3 linked regions of the Canis lupus familiaris genome follow. The protein of the gene in region 1 purifies or fractionates together with the protein of each later gene. This does not show direct contact. Links are inferred from orthologs where the notes say so. Each region holds a gene or a part of one and is shown in the gene's direction. Other genes may lie near its edges.

Evidence for each region. Proteins that work in one complex are often made in the same cells at the same time.
Region 2: the proteins of PTPN6 (region 1) and CD22 purify together in Homo sapiens (affinity purification with western blotting; 5 studies listed by BioGRID and IntAct, with this or other methods). This does not show direct contact. The link is inferred for Canis lupus familiaris from reciprocal best matches to the Homo sapiens genes PTPN6 and CD22.
Region 3: the proteins of PTPN6 (region 1) and CD72 purify together in Homo sapiens (affinity purification with western blotting; 3 studies listed by BioGRID). This does not show direct contact. The link is inferred for Canis lupus familiaris from reciprocal best matches to the Homo sapiens genes PTPN6 and CD72.

What each region holds. Positions count from the first base shown.
Region 1 is NC_049248.1:8,003,601-8,009,141, forward strand, and holds part of PTPN6 (tyrosine-protein phosphatase non-receptor type 6), read left to right. Parts: intron 1-325; coding exon 326-405; intron 406-584; coding exon 585-734; intron 735-2,692; coding exon 2,693-2,824; intron 2,825-2,947; coding exon 2,948-3,102; intron 3,103-5,500; coding exon 5,501-5,541. UniProt on the Homo sapiens protein: Tyrosine phosphatase enzyme that plays important roles in controlling immune signaling pathways and fundamental physiological processes such as hematopoiesis.
Region 2 is NC_049222.1:118,125,465-118,131,068, reverse strand, and holds the start of CD22 (B-cell receptor CD22), read left to right. Parts: upstream 1-2,040; 5' UTR 2,041-2,218; coding exon 2,219-2,254; intron 2,255-5,604. UniProt on the Homo sapiens protein: Most highly expressed siglec (sialic acid-binding immunoglobulin-like lectin) on B-cells that plays a role in various aspects of B-cell biology including differentiation, antigen presentation, and trafficking to bone marrow.
Region 3 is NC_049232.1:52,470,577-52,476,217, reverse strand, and holds the start of CD72 (B-cell differentiation antigen CD72), read left to right. Parts: upstream 1-2,198; 5' UTR 2,199-2,348; coding exon 2,349-2,430; intron 2,431-2,516; coding exon 2,517-2,624; intron 2,625-3,283; coding exon 3,284-3,355; intron 3,356-3,901; coding exon 3,902-3,991; intron 3,992-4,535; coding exon 4,536-4,871; intron 4,872-5,641. UniProt on the Homo sapiens protein: Co-receptor of B cell receptor (BCR) that plays both positive and negative roles on B-cell functions. Recognizes the Sm/ribonucleoprotein (RNP) self-antigen ligand, and coligation of CD72 and BCR inhibits BCR signaling.

The sequences.
Region 1 (5,541 bases):
CCATCTCACGGGTCTCTGCCCCCCGCTCCAGGAGGGTCTACCTCCACACCCACACAACAGAGCCTCCCTGCATCCAGGAAGCCTCTGCTCCTGTCAGGGGAGCCTCCTCACATCCCGCCATCCACCCTCCTCCCCACCATCCACCATCCTCCCTCCTTGGAAACCTTCACCCCCCTTCCCCTGCAGATCCTCCACCCCTGCCTTCCCACAGTGCTCTAAGAGCCTCCTGGCTTCTGAGACAAGAATGGCCTGTGAGCATAGGAAGGGTCTAATCCAGGGGCTGGTGAGCTCTTGGCTGACCCAGGCCTGTCTTGTTTCCTCCCAGTTGACCACACCCGAGTGATCCTGCAGGGACGTGACAGTAACATCCCTGGGTCCGACTACATCAACGCCAACTACGTCAAGGTTGGTGGCACCCACTTGTCAAGGGAGGAGAAGCCGGGCCCTGGGGATTCCCCGTCTCTGGGCGGGTGCTAGATCCAGAGACATGTAGGCAAGGCTGAAGCCGGCCAGTTAGCAGGTGAGTGGGGGGAGGGTGCAGGGACTCACAGTCCTGGGGTGCAGCTCTCTACACTTGCTTCCAGAACGAGCTGTTAGGCCCCGATGAGAACACTAAGACCTACATCGCCAGCCAGGGCTGCCTGGAGGCCACAGTCAATGACTTCTGGCAAATGGCATGGCAGGAGAACACCCGCGTCATCGTCATGACCACCCGGGAGGTGGAGAAAGGCCGGGTAAGGCCGAGTCCTATACTGTCCCCTGGTCCCCACCTCCAACCCCTCCCCAGTGCTTGCTCTCCACCACCATTAAACCAGAGAAACTCCAGATACCAGGGCAGGAAGGAACCTCAGAGGGCAAGGTCCAACCCTTGTTGGGAAACTGAGGCACAGAGACACTCTTGGGGATATACTATCTCCCAGATCCCTTCTTCCAACCTGGGGCTCTCCTGACCACCAGACTCAGGTTTTATTTGTTTATTTTTATTTTAAAAAATATTTTATTTATTTATTCATTAGAGATACACAGAGAGAGGCAGAGACACAGGCAGAGGGAGCAGCAGGCTCTCTGTGGGGAGCCAGATGTGGGACTCGATCCCAGGACCCTGGGATCAGGCCCTGAGTGGAAGGCAGACGCTTAACCGCTGAGTCACCCAGGCATCCCTATTTTTATTTTTTTAAGATTTCATTTATTCATTAGAGAGAGAAAAAGCACATGAGTGTGTGTGTGTGTGTGTGTAGGGGGGGGAGTGCAGAAGGAGAGGGAGAAACAGATACCCCACTGAGCAGGGAACCCCATGTGATATGGGGCTCCATCCCAGGATCCTGAGATCAGGACCTGAGCTGAAGTCAGACGCTCAACTGACTGAGCCACACAGGCACCCCCAGACCCAGGTTTTATTTTTTTTATTTTTTTTTATTTTTTTATTTTTTTTATTTATTATTTATGATAGTCACAGAGAGAGAGAGGCAGAGACACAGGCAGAGGGAGAAGCAGGCTCCATGCACTGGGAGCCCGACGTGGGATTCGATCCTGGATCTCCAGGATCGTGCCCTGGGCCAAAGGCAGGCGCCAAACCACTGCGCCACCCAGGGATCCCTTTTTTTTTTTTTTAAATTTTTATTTATTTATGATAATCACAGAGAGAGAGAGAGAGAGAGAGAGAGAGAGAGAGAGAGGCAGAGTCACAGGCAGAGGGAGAAGCAGGCTCCATGCACCGGGAGCCTGACGTGGGATTCGATCCCGGGTCCCCAGGATCGCGCCCTGGGCCAAAGGCAGGCGCCAAACCGCTGCGCCACCCAGGGATCCCTAGACCCAGGTTTTAAATGGGCTTTCTTCCTTAAAGTGTCCCTTGCCAGAAGCAACCTGCCTCCTGTCCTCTCTGCCTCATAACTCTCTCTGGAGTCTGCCCCTCACCCTCACCCTCACCCCACTGCCCAGCTGGCCTCCCTCCCTGTGGGCTGCCCCCTCCTCCCACATGTCTGCACAGAAGTCAGAGGGGTCCCTCTTAGAGCATGCACTGCATCAAGATGCTCCCTGGCTCCCTGGGAATTTTTCGGTGGCTCCCAGTTGTCTTCCGGATAAAGTCACACTCTAAGACCTGGCACTCAAGGCATGGTGGCTTCCCTACAACGTTCCGCCCTGCCTCAGGTTCTCACGCCTTGGCACAAGCTTGCTTTCTGCTAGGAAAGGACTTCCTCTCTCTGTACTATCTCTGCTGGACAGACTCCTCATTTTTGAAGACCCTGCTCAAATGCTCCCTCCTCTGTGAAGCCACCTCTGATTTCCTCCATAATCTAGAGGGAGGGTTACCCTCTCCCTCTGTACCCTGTGCCCCTGAGTGGCTCTGTTTTCCCTGCTCTGCTGTCTCTCTGTGAATACATAGAGACATAGAGGCCCAGATTGCTTTGTAGTTATGTTTGGGACTCCAGCATGGTCTGTACAACTTCAGATACGTTGTGTGCCCCAGCCGGTGTTTACTGAATGAATTGTAAGGCCAAGTGGCTCAGTCAGGCCTCACCACCTGCTGGTGGCCAGCAGGACCAGATCCCCCCTCTGACTCTTGGCCAGCATCTCCATTCATCCAGCAAATGTTAACTGGGCCAGCACCAGGGACTCAGGATCTCAAAAGGGGCCTGGAACATGCCCCCATACATTCTGTGCCTCATTTCTCACTGCCACCCTCCCTTTGCAGAACAAGTGTGTCCCGTATTGGCCAGAGGTGGGCACTCAGCGTGCGTATGGACCCTACGTAGTTACCAACTGCAGGGAACATGACGCTGCAGAGTACAAACTCCGTACTTTACAGGTCTCCCCACTGGAAAATGTGAGTATTCTCCACTCCTGCCTCACTCCTGGGGCCCTTCCTTGGATCTGTTGTTTTGTCTGGTTGGGTGGGATGGGGAGATGTGTGGGAACAGAGGGCACTGGCCCTATGCGCTCTGCCCAGGAGGACCTGGTTCGGGAGATCTGGCACTACCAGTACCTGAGCTGGCCTGACCATGGGGTTCCCAGTGAGCCTGGAGGTGTCCTCAGCTTCCTGGACCAGATCAACCAACGGCAGGAAAGTCTGCCTCATGCAGGCCCCATCATTGTGCATTGCAGGTGAGAACAATAATGATGTGAGTAGTAGTAATAAAAATAAAAGAGAGGTCCTGAGATCAGGACCTGAGCTGAAGTCAGATGCTCAACTGACTGAGCCACCCAGGCACCCCCAGACCCAGATTTTATTTTATTTATTTATTATTTATTTATATTTTATGATAGTCAGAGAGAGAGAGAGAGAGAGAGAGAGAGAGAGAGGCAGAGACATAGGCAGAGGGAGAAGCAGGCTCCATGCACCGGGAGCCCGACGTGGGATTCGATCCCGAGTCTCCAGGATCGCGCCCTGGGCCAAAGGCAGGCGCCAAACCGCTGCGCCACCCAGGGATCCCCAGACCCAGGTTTTAAATGGGCTTTCTTCCTTAAAGTGTCTCTTGCCACCGAGGCAAGATAAAAAACAAAAAACAAAAAACAAAACAAAACAACTTTTATTTTTTTTCAATAAAAATAAAAGTAGTAGCTGGCTAGTAAATACTGCTAACTCAGTGCCCTGGAAGCACTAATTTACATGTTAACGCATTAAATGCCTCCGCCTGCTCATGGCCTCATCCGGGCTCCTTGATGGTTCCAGATCCAAGGCGGAAGCGTAGCTTGAGCTAACCCCACTGATTGATCCTGTGCCTGAGGGGTGGCTTCTTTAGAGACTTCCCTGTACGTACCATCTCACCCAACCCTGCCAAATACCCATGAGGAAATAGGCCCAGCGACTTGCCAGCTGGCCAGCGGGAAAGTGCACTGACGCTCACCACACACCTAGGCTCTGGTCGCTCCTGTTGTCTCTCACGGGCTTCCTCAGCCTGTATTTCTTCTTGGGCCCTGCCACCTTCTATCTGGGGTCGGTGTGGCTCTCCATTTTTTCTTTTTTCTATCCATAGCCCCAGGGATGCTTAGCCTTCCTCTTTCTCCCCCTTCCCAGCTAGTGACCCCAGCTTGGCCTCCAGGTTGTGTGGGGATGGGTGATGTCTTCCAAAGGGGCACATGTATCTCTAGGTCACTGGAGGACCTCGTGTTCATGATCAGGAGACCCTGTTCCTGCTAGGCAGCAAGGGGGGTGCGGTCAGCAAGGAGGAGTGAGGGGCAGAGTCCTCACTGACCTGGCCTGGGTCCGTGGGGGGCCGTGGGTGCAGGTTCCTGGACAGACACCGTAGATTAAAATTCTGGCTCTTCTACTCACTGGCTGTGTGTGTGATCTCAGACAAATTACTTCACTTCTCTGACCCTTAGATTCCTCATTTGTCACTGCAGGCTCTCCTGTGGTTGATGTGAGGATTCAATAAGCCCCCGTCCCTGTGTCTGGAACGTAGTAATCCCTCAAGAAATGGGAGCCGTTGCTGGTTTAATAACTCCCATTAGGCTGGGAATGGGGAAATGGGAGCCTGCTTCATCTGCTTCCCTTCCTACTCCCTTCAAGTGACCCCAGGCTGGGGCCTCACATGTCTTCCTTCTTCCCACCAGCAACTTTTGCCCTGGGGCAGGGCTGGGTGGGCTGAATCTGGGGGTGCCCCTCACATGTCATCTCAGGGACTCTGCCTCTGGGGGCCGGCCCATTGCTAAGTACGACCCTCCTGTTACTCCCCTTCCACTTCTTGAAATCCCCATGGCCTTTATTTAGATGTTACAGGAAGGAAGTGGGTAAGGGGGGGTTATTTTTGACAATCTGGGTTTGAAATTAGTGCAACTCAGGCCACTAGCCTGGCGGCCCCGCGAAGCAGACAGAACTGGGGTCTCTGAGGGATCCTGAGTTTCCTGGGATCTGTTTGCTCTAGGATGCTGGTGGAGGGTGGGGAAAGAAGGGAGACCTCACACTTCACACAGCATCTCCGCATCATCTCCTGACCCCAGTGACCTTTCTGCCCTGCTGCCTCAAGGGCTGCCCTTTCCTGGTCTTCAGGGTCTGAAAAAAACGGGAAACAAAGTCCTCTCGAAAGAAGATCTAAATAAAACTTTTGAAGAGTGCGAGGTGGGGCTGGGGTGTGCAGTGGCGGGGAAGCCTCATTCAAGCCAAGGGTGCGGGAGAGGGTCAGGGGAGGCCCAGAGTGCCAGAGTGGGTGGGGGGAGGGACCCTGGTGGGCTGAAGAGCAGCCCCCAGCCAGCAATGAGGAGGCAGAGCAGGAAGTGGAAGGGTGAGATGCTGGAAAGAAGGAAGGCCAGGCGGGGCGGCCCTGGGAGAACTGGGCCCACCCACAAATCCCTTGGCTGAAGTGTTGAGTGCAAGTGCCCGGAACTCAGGGTCCGGCAGGCTTCTGCCTCTGGTTAGGCTGCCCAGTGACCCCGGGCACGTTACCTCATCTCGCCGGAGCCTCAGTTTCATCCTGCCACCGTGCTGGAGTTGAACGCTGGGGCTCTCCCTTCCTGGTGAGGCATGGCCGGGGCCTCTGATGGTGCCCCCTTCCCTCCCCAGTGCAGGCATCGGCCGCACAGGAACCATCATTGTCATCGACA
Region 2 (5,604 bases), on another chromosome or scaffold:
CCCCCGCTGGTAACTGTGCAGCCCCGACTTGCACCCAGGGCCCAGAGCTCTCACTACTGTGCGCTCCGTCATCTTGGTGAGAAGCAACAGGGGCTCAAGGGCCAAATGGGGTTAAGAGAGCACTGAGAATAGAGCTGCCATTTGGGTGTGGCTCCTGAACAGGGCTGTTCTCCCCTAGTTTTTGATGAAGGCAGAGGATACCACAGAGACCACAGTCAAGACCAAGAGGCAGGACTAACCAAACCATGTTGAGAGAGAAGGTGATGAGGCCGGAATGGGAATGGGAAGTCCACGTGCAGGAGCAGGGCAGGGCTGTGGGTGGTAGTGGGGCTGAGGGTGGTAGTGGGGCTGTGAGCGGCGGGGAGGGGACTGACACCCGATGCCTGCCCGAGCCCCTTCCTCGTGGGGCTCTCTCAGTCTTGTAGAGAAGAGGACATTGACCAAATGACCTCATGCATAATGCCTGACTTGCTGACAGCTGCCCAAGGGACCCTTGTCACCTGTGGCACCTGCTCCTGAGAGACGTGCAAGGGGGGCTTTTAGAGCACAGAATGGAAGTGTGTGTTGGGATCTCAGGAGCCCAGGGAGGTGTCCCAATGACAGGAAAGTCCCACAAGGACACTGTATGTGAAGGCCCCAAGTGGGAAGATGTTTGGCAAAATCCCAGGGGCTGAAAATAAGGCCGGAGAGTGGTCAGGGACGGGGCAGAGAACGGCAGCGGCTTCACAGCAGCTCCAGGGGCCATCCCCACCGGATCTCCTGCACACGAGCATGGACCCCGCCCTGACACACCTGTGCTCTGACAACAGACCCTGGCTCCAGCAGGTCTGGCCTGGGAGGAATGCCCCGAAGGACTTCGCCCTGAGGAGCAGAGCACTGTCAATAATGAGGGACTGAGTAACCCTGTGCTGTCCAGAGGGCTACCCAAGCACCATGCTGATGAGCCAGGGGATCCCAGGAGGAATGGACAGCAACTTTTGTGTTAATATGTATTAACATATTAGCATGATCAGAACAAAGAGAAGCCGGCATACCAAACGGGTGATTTATTTTTTTTAAATACAAGCTTAGGAGGAAGCTAAGTTAAAAACAAAAATCAATCAAGTGAATGATTTAAAGAGATGTAGGAAATAAAGGTTTACAGGATGAAAGTCTCGAAGGTCATAGGCAAACCTCTAAAGTTTAGGAAGAATGAAGTGATCTGATGCAAAGGCCATCTCGTAGGAGGGACTCACAGTCAGTGACGACACACAAGGAGGACCAAAATTCAGGATATCATGCTCCACCCCTCGTCCTGGACTCTCCCAGAATTCATCTGTTCCATCGACACATGTTTACTGAGCACCTACTATGTGACATGCCTATGCTGGGCTCTAGGGGTATCATAGTGACCGAGAAGAAACACTCTCCGACCTCGTGGAGCTGACATTCTGTGGAACGGATGGATGGCAATCAGATAAACAAGTGTTGGTCAGATAGTGAGCATGCTAAGAAGGAAATTAAGCAGGGCAGGATGGAATGTGCAGGGCCAGGCTGCTGTTCTAGAAAGAGGTCATTTGAGTAGAGAGAGGAAGGAAGCAAGAGAGAGAATTCTGTCCATTTCTGGGGAATGGAGATCCAGGGAAAAGCGAAGATCAGGCACAAAGGCCCATGGTGGGAATGTACTTGTTATGTTCAGGAGCGAGAAGGAGACCAGCTTGCCTGGAGGGGGCTGGAGAGCCGGAGCAGCTGCCCAAGGGAGCCTCGTCACCGAAGGCCCTAGAGGCCACGGTTAGGACTCAGGCTTTCACTCGGGCAGATTGGGTTGTTGCTGGAGGATTATACACAGAGGAATGTTAAGGAGGGGCTGAGGTTTCTAAGACCCCGCTGACAGCTGTGCGGAAAATGAGCACAGCTGGTCAGCAGATGCAGGCAGAGGGCTCAGGAGGCCAAGTGAGAGGAAGTGGAGATGGCGAGAGGGGACAGGTCAGGACCTCTTTTGTAAGAAGAATTGGTGGAGCTTTGAGAAAGCTGGAGGGGAGGGAAACAGGAATCCAAGATAGCCACTTCCTCAGCTGTCGAAGACGGTGGAAGGAACGGGTTTGAGGAGAACACAAGTGTGTTCCATCTACACTGACCACGTCAACAGGAAAAAGTTGATGGCACCCCTCCCTTGGGAAATTACAAGCTGAGGAAGACTCAGAACCCATGGCACGGTGGCTCGGAGAGACGGGAACAGATGCATGAGATGACGGCTGGTTGGGCTAGAGTAGAGGTGAGCACGGACAGGCCACCCCATGTAGGAAGGAGGACACCTGGGCACCAGGCCAGGGTCATGGCAACGTGGGTCTCCTTTTCCCTCTTCTCCCGCCAACCTCCCGGGTCCCTCCTGGCTGAGACAAGCCAACCCTGGTGGCCCCCAATCCTGTCCTGTGGACAGTGCCTGTGCCAGGCGGCTCTGTTATCCTCATTGATGAAAAGTCTCCAGGCCAGAGAGGGCTACTCCAAAGCCTCCTCCCCTGGGCCAGGCTTGGGGACACTCAGCACTGCTCAGGAGTAGCCAAGTGTCTTTCTTCCCCACCCTCCTGGCTCTTGACTCTGGCCTGCTCCCAGGACAGGAGGAGACAGGCAGAAGGCCCACTCCCAGTCTGGTGTGTCTGGAATACCTTCCCCGGGGAATGGGAGGGAAACCATAGGGTCTCTCTGTCAAGCCCAGGGTAGGGCTGAGTAGCCAGAGGTGTGTGACTCAGTGTCATCATGGAGTCAAGCACAGCAAGTGACAATATCCCTAACAATAACAGCTCACTTTTGCAGAGCGCTCATTCCATGACAGCCATCGTGCAAAGTGCTTGCTGTGCTCGTGATTTCTCACAGGCCGCCCATGAGGTCGGTGCTGCCAATATCCAATATCATCAGCTCCCTCAGAAGGGAAACTCAGGAGCCGCCTGGGTGGCTCAGTCGGTTAACCATCTGCCTTCGGCTCAGATCATGATCCCAGGATCCTGAGCTGGAGCCCCACTTTGGGCTCTCTGCTCAGCAAGGATCCTGCTTCTCCCTCACCCTCTGTCTGCCACTCCCCCTGCTTGTGCTCTTTCTCCATCAAATAAATACATAAAATCTTTAAAAAGAAAAAAAAAAAGAAGGGAATCTGAGGGACGTCACCACTGACAATTGGTAGGACTAGGATTTGAATCAGGTCTGTTTGCCACATGCTTGTCGTCAGCTGCATATGCAGCTAAGTGCATCACACGTGTGGCTGCCCTAACCTTGTGAGGAAGGCCCTATCACTATCCTCACCTTATAGTCCTGGGGCACATGGTCAGGTGGGGGGTGATAGCCAGGGCTCACAGTGGCACCTAGTTGCCTAGCTCCACTGCTTCCCTGGAGGGTTGGAGGGGGAGTCACCCAAAACGGTGGTCACCCACCATACCACCTGATGTCAATTACAGGAAGAACTGTCAGTTACAGGAAGACTCATCAACAGGAAAGAATCATCTGTTACAGAAAGTATTTAGAACACTTGATCACCCAAAATGGAGGCCATCTACCTCTTTGGAGGAAAAGATGGAAGGAAGAGTAAGGGCACCATGTCACGGAGTCGTGCTTCCACCCTGGCCTTCTCCATAGGCCTTGGCCACCAGACAGCAAGGCATGTCCATCAGCTTGCTGCCCAGTTTCCTCTTGTTACTGTGAGCAATGCCTGGAGTTATGCCAGCAGAGGCCACAGGTGCTCCTTCTAGGTGGCTATCAGGGATTTCAGTCCCCAGTGGGTCTCCTGTCAGAGACCTTCAGGACCCTTCCCACCAGCAATTGAGATTGCCGGGGATTATAACTTTTTATTTTGAAATACTTATAGAATCATGGGAAGTTGCAAAAATAGAACTTTTTATTTTGAAATAATTATAGGTTCACAGGAAATCGCATGGGTTGAATAGAGAGGTCCAGTTTGCCCATATCTTATGCAATTATGGTAGCGTATCAAAACGAGGAGTGTGGCATTAGTACAGTGTGTGTGTACAGTTCCGAGTCCTTTTATCACATGTCTAGATGTATGTGACGATGACTGCAATCACGATCCAGAATTATTCCCTTACCACAAGGCTCTCCCTTGTAGTCAAGCCCACTTCCCTTTGACCCTGGCAACCTGTAATCTGTTTTCCATCTCTATCATTTTGTCATTTCAGGAATGTTACATAAAAGAAATCATATGGTTTATGACGTTTTGAGGTTGACTCTTTTTCTTACTCGGCGGAATGCCCGTCAGAATCATCCGAGTTGTGTGTGTCACTATTGTGCTGTGCCATTGCCACTCCATGGTATGGATGGAACACAGTTTAACGGTTCACCTCCTAAGGGACGTGCTGGTTCTTGCCAGTTTTTGGCTATTACAAATAAAGCTGCTGTGAGCAATTGTGTAAAGGTTTTTGTGTTGACATAAGTTTTCAGTGTGTGTGGGGGTGGATATACGCCCTGGAATGCAATTGCTGAGTTGTACGGTAGGTGTATTTTGTTCGTTTTTAGAGAAACTCACAAACTATGTTCCAGAGTGGCTGTAACCATTTTACGTTCCTGCCAGCAATGTATGACTGATCCAGTTTCACTCTATCATCACAAGCATGTTGTCTTGTCATTAGCTTTTATTTTGGCTGTTCTGATAGCTATGTAGTGATATCTTATCATAGTCTCGATTTGCATTTCACTGCTGGCTAGTGATGTTGAACATCTCTTTGGGTGTTTATTAGCCATCTGTGTATCCCCTTCTATAAAATGTCTCTTCATGACTTTTGCCCATTTTCTAATTGCCCATACAATCCAGTTACTTAAAGTGCACAGTCCAGTGGTTTTATGTATATTCAGAGTTGTGCAGCCATCCCCACAACCAATTTTAAAATGTTTTATTTTAAGTAAACTCCACACCACATGTGGAGCTCAAACTCATAACTTGAAGATCAAGAGTCTCATGTTCTACTGACTGAGGCACCCAGGCACCCCAACCACAATCAATTTTAGAACATTTCATCACCCCCAAAATAAACCCATACTCATTAGCAGTCACCTGCCATTTCCTCCCAGTACCCCCACCCTAGCTTTAGGCAACCATTAAATCTACTTTGTATCTCTATAGATTTTCCTTTTCTAGACATTTCATATAAATGGAATGATATAATATGTGGTCTGTTGTGATCAGCTTCTTTCACTTAATGTTTCCACGTTCACTCGTGTGGCAGCATCTATCAGTATTTTATTTCCTTTTATTGCTAAATATTTTATTGTGTGGATATACCATATTTTGTTTATCCATTCATCACTTGAAGGACACCTGGGCTGTTCCTACTTTTTGGCTTTTATGAATAATGTCACTGTGAACATTTGTGTTCAAATTTCTGGGTGGATATGTTTTTTCTCTCGGGTGTGTATACCTAGGAGTGGAGTGAAGAGTTACATGGTAATTATACATTTAGCCTTCTGAGGAATTGTTTTGAGGTTGCTTTCCAAAGTGGCTGGACAATTTTACATTCCTACCAGCAACATATAAAAGATTCAGTTACTGCACATCCTTTCTGGCATTTGATATTGCCACTATTTTTTTTCTATTTTTTTTATTTTAGCTGTCTAATAATAATA
Region 3 (5,641 bases), on another chromosome or scaffold:
GGTTCTGAAAACAAGGGCGTTATCTACAGTTTACTGAATTTCTGCAAATACTCCTGCAACAGATCTACATAGGTGCTGCCCTGGCCCCCGTACCCCACTCCAAGTACCCTGACTGACCCTGCACCCCTGCCCCCAGCTGCTCTATAGGCTCCCACTCAGTCTCACAGGCCCCTGAGGCCCCCAGGGAGCCACCAACACGCACCATGGTCTGTTCTCTGGAGGAAGCCCTGATAGGATGACTGGGGGAGGGGACCCGGTTGTTGGAAACTTTAATTAAGCAAGGACGGTTAACAGCTGCAGGGTCACCTTAGGAAATGGTGAGCCTGAGAAAATAAATACATCTATCATCTGTCCCCATGGCCTTTTAAGACTTTTCTACAAACGGCTCATCATTCCTTGCCATGGAAAAAGATAACAGCCATCATGGGCACCCTTCAGCCCCCAGAATTCTCTGAGCTTCATCCTCCCAGCAGGTCTTGCCATAGATTCTCACCTCACACACACACACCTCCACAGATGGCCAAATCCAAGGATGCATGCTCACACGTGCACACTCACACACATGTACACCTGCCTATTCTCAGGTGACAACTGTACTTTTCTACTGCACTAGATCCTTTTTCTGGGAAGGCTGGGTGGTGCTGTCGAGCAGAGCTCTCAGGAGCCCCACGGGGCCCTGATGGCACCCCTCTACACACCACTAGTCCTACACCACAGCTGCTAGCATGTGGTGAGGACCTCTTTCTCCTTCCTTCTTCCTCCCCACAGGTGCAATGTGTGAAGAGGTTCTGCGGGGGCAGATGCCACCCACAGCAAGGGGGTTTTTTTCCCACCTACGTATCATGTCTTGTCTCAGCCTCTTTCCACCGGTGGAAGCAAGCCCTTCTGGAGTCATAGCTTGGTAAGAGAATGTTAGGGAGCACCTCTGAACCACTGCTCAACAGTCCTCCCTCCTCCTCCCTTCTGTCAGCCAGGCCTTCACCAGCCACGAGGGCCTCCTAGCCCTGACTCTTCTCCCACAAATACCCCCTTTGCCCTCGGGGCTGGGTGTAAGGGCACAATGTTAAGGCTTTATAAGGAAAGAACTTTACTAGGAAAGTAAAAAAAAGAAAACAACCAAATCCAGACCAAGAAAATATCAAAGCCTCAAATCCAGTGTCTGTGTGCTCAGCACCCAGCCCTGTTGTTTCCTTGCCTCCATTCTGTCTAAGCAGCTGCTGCCCTCTCATCCCCACCCAACTCCTTTGTTCACCTGCCCCCCGGGTCCCCACAAGGGTGCATAAGGGGTCAGTGCTGCAGGCTTTTCCAAAGGTGCATGAGCTAGGGGCTGTCCCTCATCCTTACCCCCAGCCCGGGCCTATCCCCAAGCCTGTGCCTCCTGGACTCAGCTCACTGCATCTAGCTCAGATGTTGGGACACAGGATGCCCTGAGTCCAGCATGGGGTAGGATGGGATGAGGAAGGGACTGACTGGCCAACGGTGTGATGGGTAGGGAACAAGGGTGGACAAGGCCAGGGAAAGGCTGTGAAGAGGGAATCTAGGGGAGTTTGTAGAAGAGAAACTGTGTGGTCCTAGCTCCTCTGCATCCTCCAAAGGCCTGCCACATTCTCAGGAAGGGCTTTGGAGTGAGAGCCTCCCTATGTGTGAGATCCTTAGCATCTGCAGGACAACAGCAGGAGTGGGAGGGTCTCCCCCCGCCCACCAGCCTCCAAACTGATAGGGAAATGAGCTCCACCAAATCGAGGGCCCCTTTCTGGGAACCCATACCTGCTGGGAACCCCAGGATGATGAGGAGCAAGGGCTCCACACTAGGACCCCTCCAATATGATGTGGAGGCTGGAGCTCCACTCTGCAGCAATGACTGGGGAGATCCTCTGGGTTTAGTCAGGCACCAAAGAGCTCTGACAACACATAGATAAGCCCATGGACAGAGCAGCATAGGGCAAATCAGGGTAGATGACCAGGAGGACAAGTATTTAGAGCCCAGCGCTGCCAAAGCGGGTCTGGGGTGCATGAAGGGGGAGCACAGGCAGGACACAGGGATGGGCCTGAATAGTGATCCAGTGACACCTCCATGCTGCAACCCCATGTTCTGGACTTCAGTTTCCCATCCCCTGTCCCTCTGGCAGAGGCTCAAGGATGCCATATGCTTCATTGAACCCATCTGTGTCTGACACTTGCTGACATCTTCCTCTTTTGCAACTGGAAGTCAGAGGGTAAAGCACTAAGCTGTGCAGTCACAGAAGGAAGACAGAGCCTCCGAGTGTGAAGGGACAGAGGGGAGAGTGGGAAGCTCTGGGGCTGGTGGAAGAAAGGGTAGACGGGTGGGAGCCGGGTTGCTCAGGGCAATGGCTGAGGCCATCACCTATGCAGACCTGCGGTTCGTGAAGGCTCCCCTGAAGAAAAGCATCTCCAGCCAGTTAGGACAGGGTAAGGGTGGGCAAGGCATCTCCTTGATTCCGCATCCCCAGGCTCCCTCATGACCCCACCCTCACCTCCACCATTTCTCTCTTCAGACCCAGGGACTGATGAGGATGAGGAGCTTACCTATGAGAATGTACAAGTGTCCTCAGTCTCAGGTGGGCCCTTGAGTTTGGCTTCTTCTGGAGTAGGAGACAAAGCAGGTACGGAGAGCCCAGAGAATGTGTGTGTGACCGGGCGGGCTGTGTGAGCGTGTGTCTGTGTCTTGAGCTGGGAGTCCAGGTATCCTTGGGGTGGGGGTGGGGGGGCGGCACAATATCCCTGGGAAAGGAGGGGGTGCTTAGGAGAGAGAAGAATGACCCGTGGATAAATGGGAGCCAGGGAAGAATAAAGAGCCCAGGGCCAAGGTGGAGATCCCAAAGGGGTGACAGGGGCTGCGGGGAGAGATTGGGGCAGCCCCTGTGAGGAGATGAATTCGGATGGGAAACGGGAAGTCACGGGACAGAGAAAGGGTAGGGGAGAGGGATGAGAGCACTTCTGGGGAGACGGTTGGGAAACGCGGATGCGGGCAGTGCTGAAAGAAACCTAAGGGGAGACCCAGGAGGGAAAGGAGGGGGTCCCGGGAGAGCGGATGCAGTAAGACCCAGGAGAGACAGGAGTCCTGGGGGAGATGCGGGACTCCGGAGAGTGCTAAGGGTGTCCCCGAGCATCACAGACGTCGCCGAAGGCGTCCGGGACCGGACTGGGGACGGGGCGGGGGGGGGGGGGGGGCGCCGGGGAAGGGGAGAGGGGGAGCTGGTGGGAAGAAGGGGAATTTCCCGGGGCTTCCCGACTTCGAACTCAAGTCGCCGCGGGTCCGCAGGGCTCCAGGCAGAGCAGCCAACTGCGTCCTGGGGCTCCGTGACGTCACCGGCTGCCGGGCGGCTCCTCGCGGGTGAGTCGCGGGCCCTCCCCGCCGGCGCGCGCCCCCGGCTGCAGGGCGGGGCAGCGCAGGGGGGCGGCGAGGGTCGCGCGGCGGGGGGGCTGGCCTGGGCCGGTGCCGGGCCCGGCGGTGCGCGGGTCGGCTCCCGGGAGTGAGCTCGGGGAGCAGCGCTCTGGGCGCGGCGGGCAGCCCCGAGGCCCCCTCCCCGCCCCTTCACCCCCATACCCGTGTGTATCATTCCCCCAGGTTGACCCAGATCTTCCCTCCTCCCCCTTTACGGTGTCCCCGTGCACATACCCCCTGTCCTCTGTCCCCGTCTGGGATTTGTTCCCATCCCACCAGGTATCGCTCCTCAATCCTTACCAGTAACGATTCCAGCCCTTATTCTGGAACACCTTCCTTCCGCTACCTGCGGAAACTCACGACCCGACGAACCCCACCATACCAGCACCAGTCCTCTGAGGGATACTCTTTCCCGTGAATATCCCCACTCACCCAGCCCCGCAGCCTACAAACTTTCCTGGGGCTCTCTGCCCTTCATCCCACTGTCTCCCTAAGGCCGTGCAGCCTGTATGCAGTACCTCTTTCTTGGCCTGCTCCTCACCTGCCTGCTGTTGGGGGTGGCCACCATCTGCCTGGGAGTGCACTGTGAGTATGACTGTCCCCCACTGCCCATGTACCCTGAGCAATATTCTCCCCTACTCTCCCCAACAGCTGCCCTTCCTCTGGGCAGGGCCCAGTCACTACCACTACATGCTTAGCTTTTTGTCTGGTTTCCAGCCAGGTCTGTTTTAGAGTGCCATGTCTTCCTAAATTGTCCTTACCTAACCCAGTACCTCCTTAAGCTTTAGGCAGTCAGATCTTACATTTCAGCCTGTTATGCAAAAATTTGCAAGAAGCAGAAAAACGGGGATCCCTGGGTTACTCAGCGGTTTGGTGCCTGCCTTTGGCCCAGGGCGCGATCCTGGAGTCCTGGGATCGAGTCCTGCCTCGGGCTCCCGGCGTGGAGCCTGCTTCTCCCTCCTCCTGTGTCTCTGCCTCTCTCTCAATCTCTGTGTCTATCATGAATAAATAAATAAATAAATCTTTAAAAAAAAAAAAAGAAGCAGAAAAAGGACTGACGCTGAAGAGTCAGGGTACCAGGGCATAGCTGAAGAAGATGTTCTTCAAATCTCTCATTATGGCCGAACAGATCTGCAGGTTTCTCAGCAGCTCCAGCAGACCAACAGGGTTCTGGAAACCACTAACAGCAGCCTAAGGCAGCAGCTCCACCTGAAGATAACCCAGTTGGGGAAGAGGGAAGAGGATCTACAGGGGTCCAGGAGGGAACTAGCCCAGAGTCAGGAAGCACTACAGGAGGAACAGAGGGTTTGCCAGGCCACCCAAGAGCAGTTACAGGCCTGCCAGTCTGAGAGGGAGAAGACAAAGGAGGCCTTGCAAAGTGAGGAGGAGCAAAGGAAGACCTTGGAGCAGAGGCTGAGCAGCTTTCAGGACACACTGAAGCTCTTATTCAGATGCCCCTTATCAGGTATCTGCTCCGGGAGAGGAGAGATGGGAGGGTCTGCTGTGAGGGATGGATTGAAGTGAAGAGACACTCCTGGCAGGGGTCTATCTGGCAGGGAGCCATTGGGTTGTTGAGGAAAGGGATAGCAAATGAGAGTGGTGGCCAACAGAGAGGAGGATCAAGGTGCATTCCAGATTTAGGGTGACTCACCTAACTCTAAGGCAGATCCTGCAGGAGGGAGGAGGGTGGCAGCCAACAATGCAGATCACACTGTCCAAAGCACCAAACTCAGGTCTCCCATGGCTTGATATCAGTGTCAAAGATCTGAGAAGCCCCTGAATTGGGTTGTGAAATTGGTTGTTTACACATTTTTCTAAAAAGAGGGTCTGTAGCTTTAATTATTTCTCGCTACATCTGAGATTCCCCAGGGGTTAAAAATTACTGATTGATGAAGTGCAGGCTGGTGGTGGGGCAAGGTAGCTAAAGCTCTCAAGCGTGGGTAGCACTCAGGATGAGGTGGGTGGGGGTAATGTGGGGTAGGGAGCTGGGGTGGAGAGTTCATCTATTTTGAAGGCAGGAGCCCAGGCAGTATGTGTGTGTGTGTGTGGGGGGGGGGGGGGATGAGGGAGGAGGCCGCATAAAAGGGGAGAGGCTGGGCAAGAAGCAGGCTGAGGTTTGAGGCAGGGAACCGGGCCCTAGGTGACTGGAATGTTTGTGGACTGGCTACCTATGGTCCAGGTTAGGCTCTGTCTAGCTCAGGGGGCATTGGGATACTCCCCCAAGGCTTAAGACGG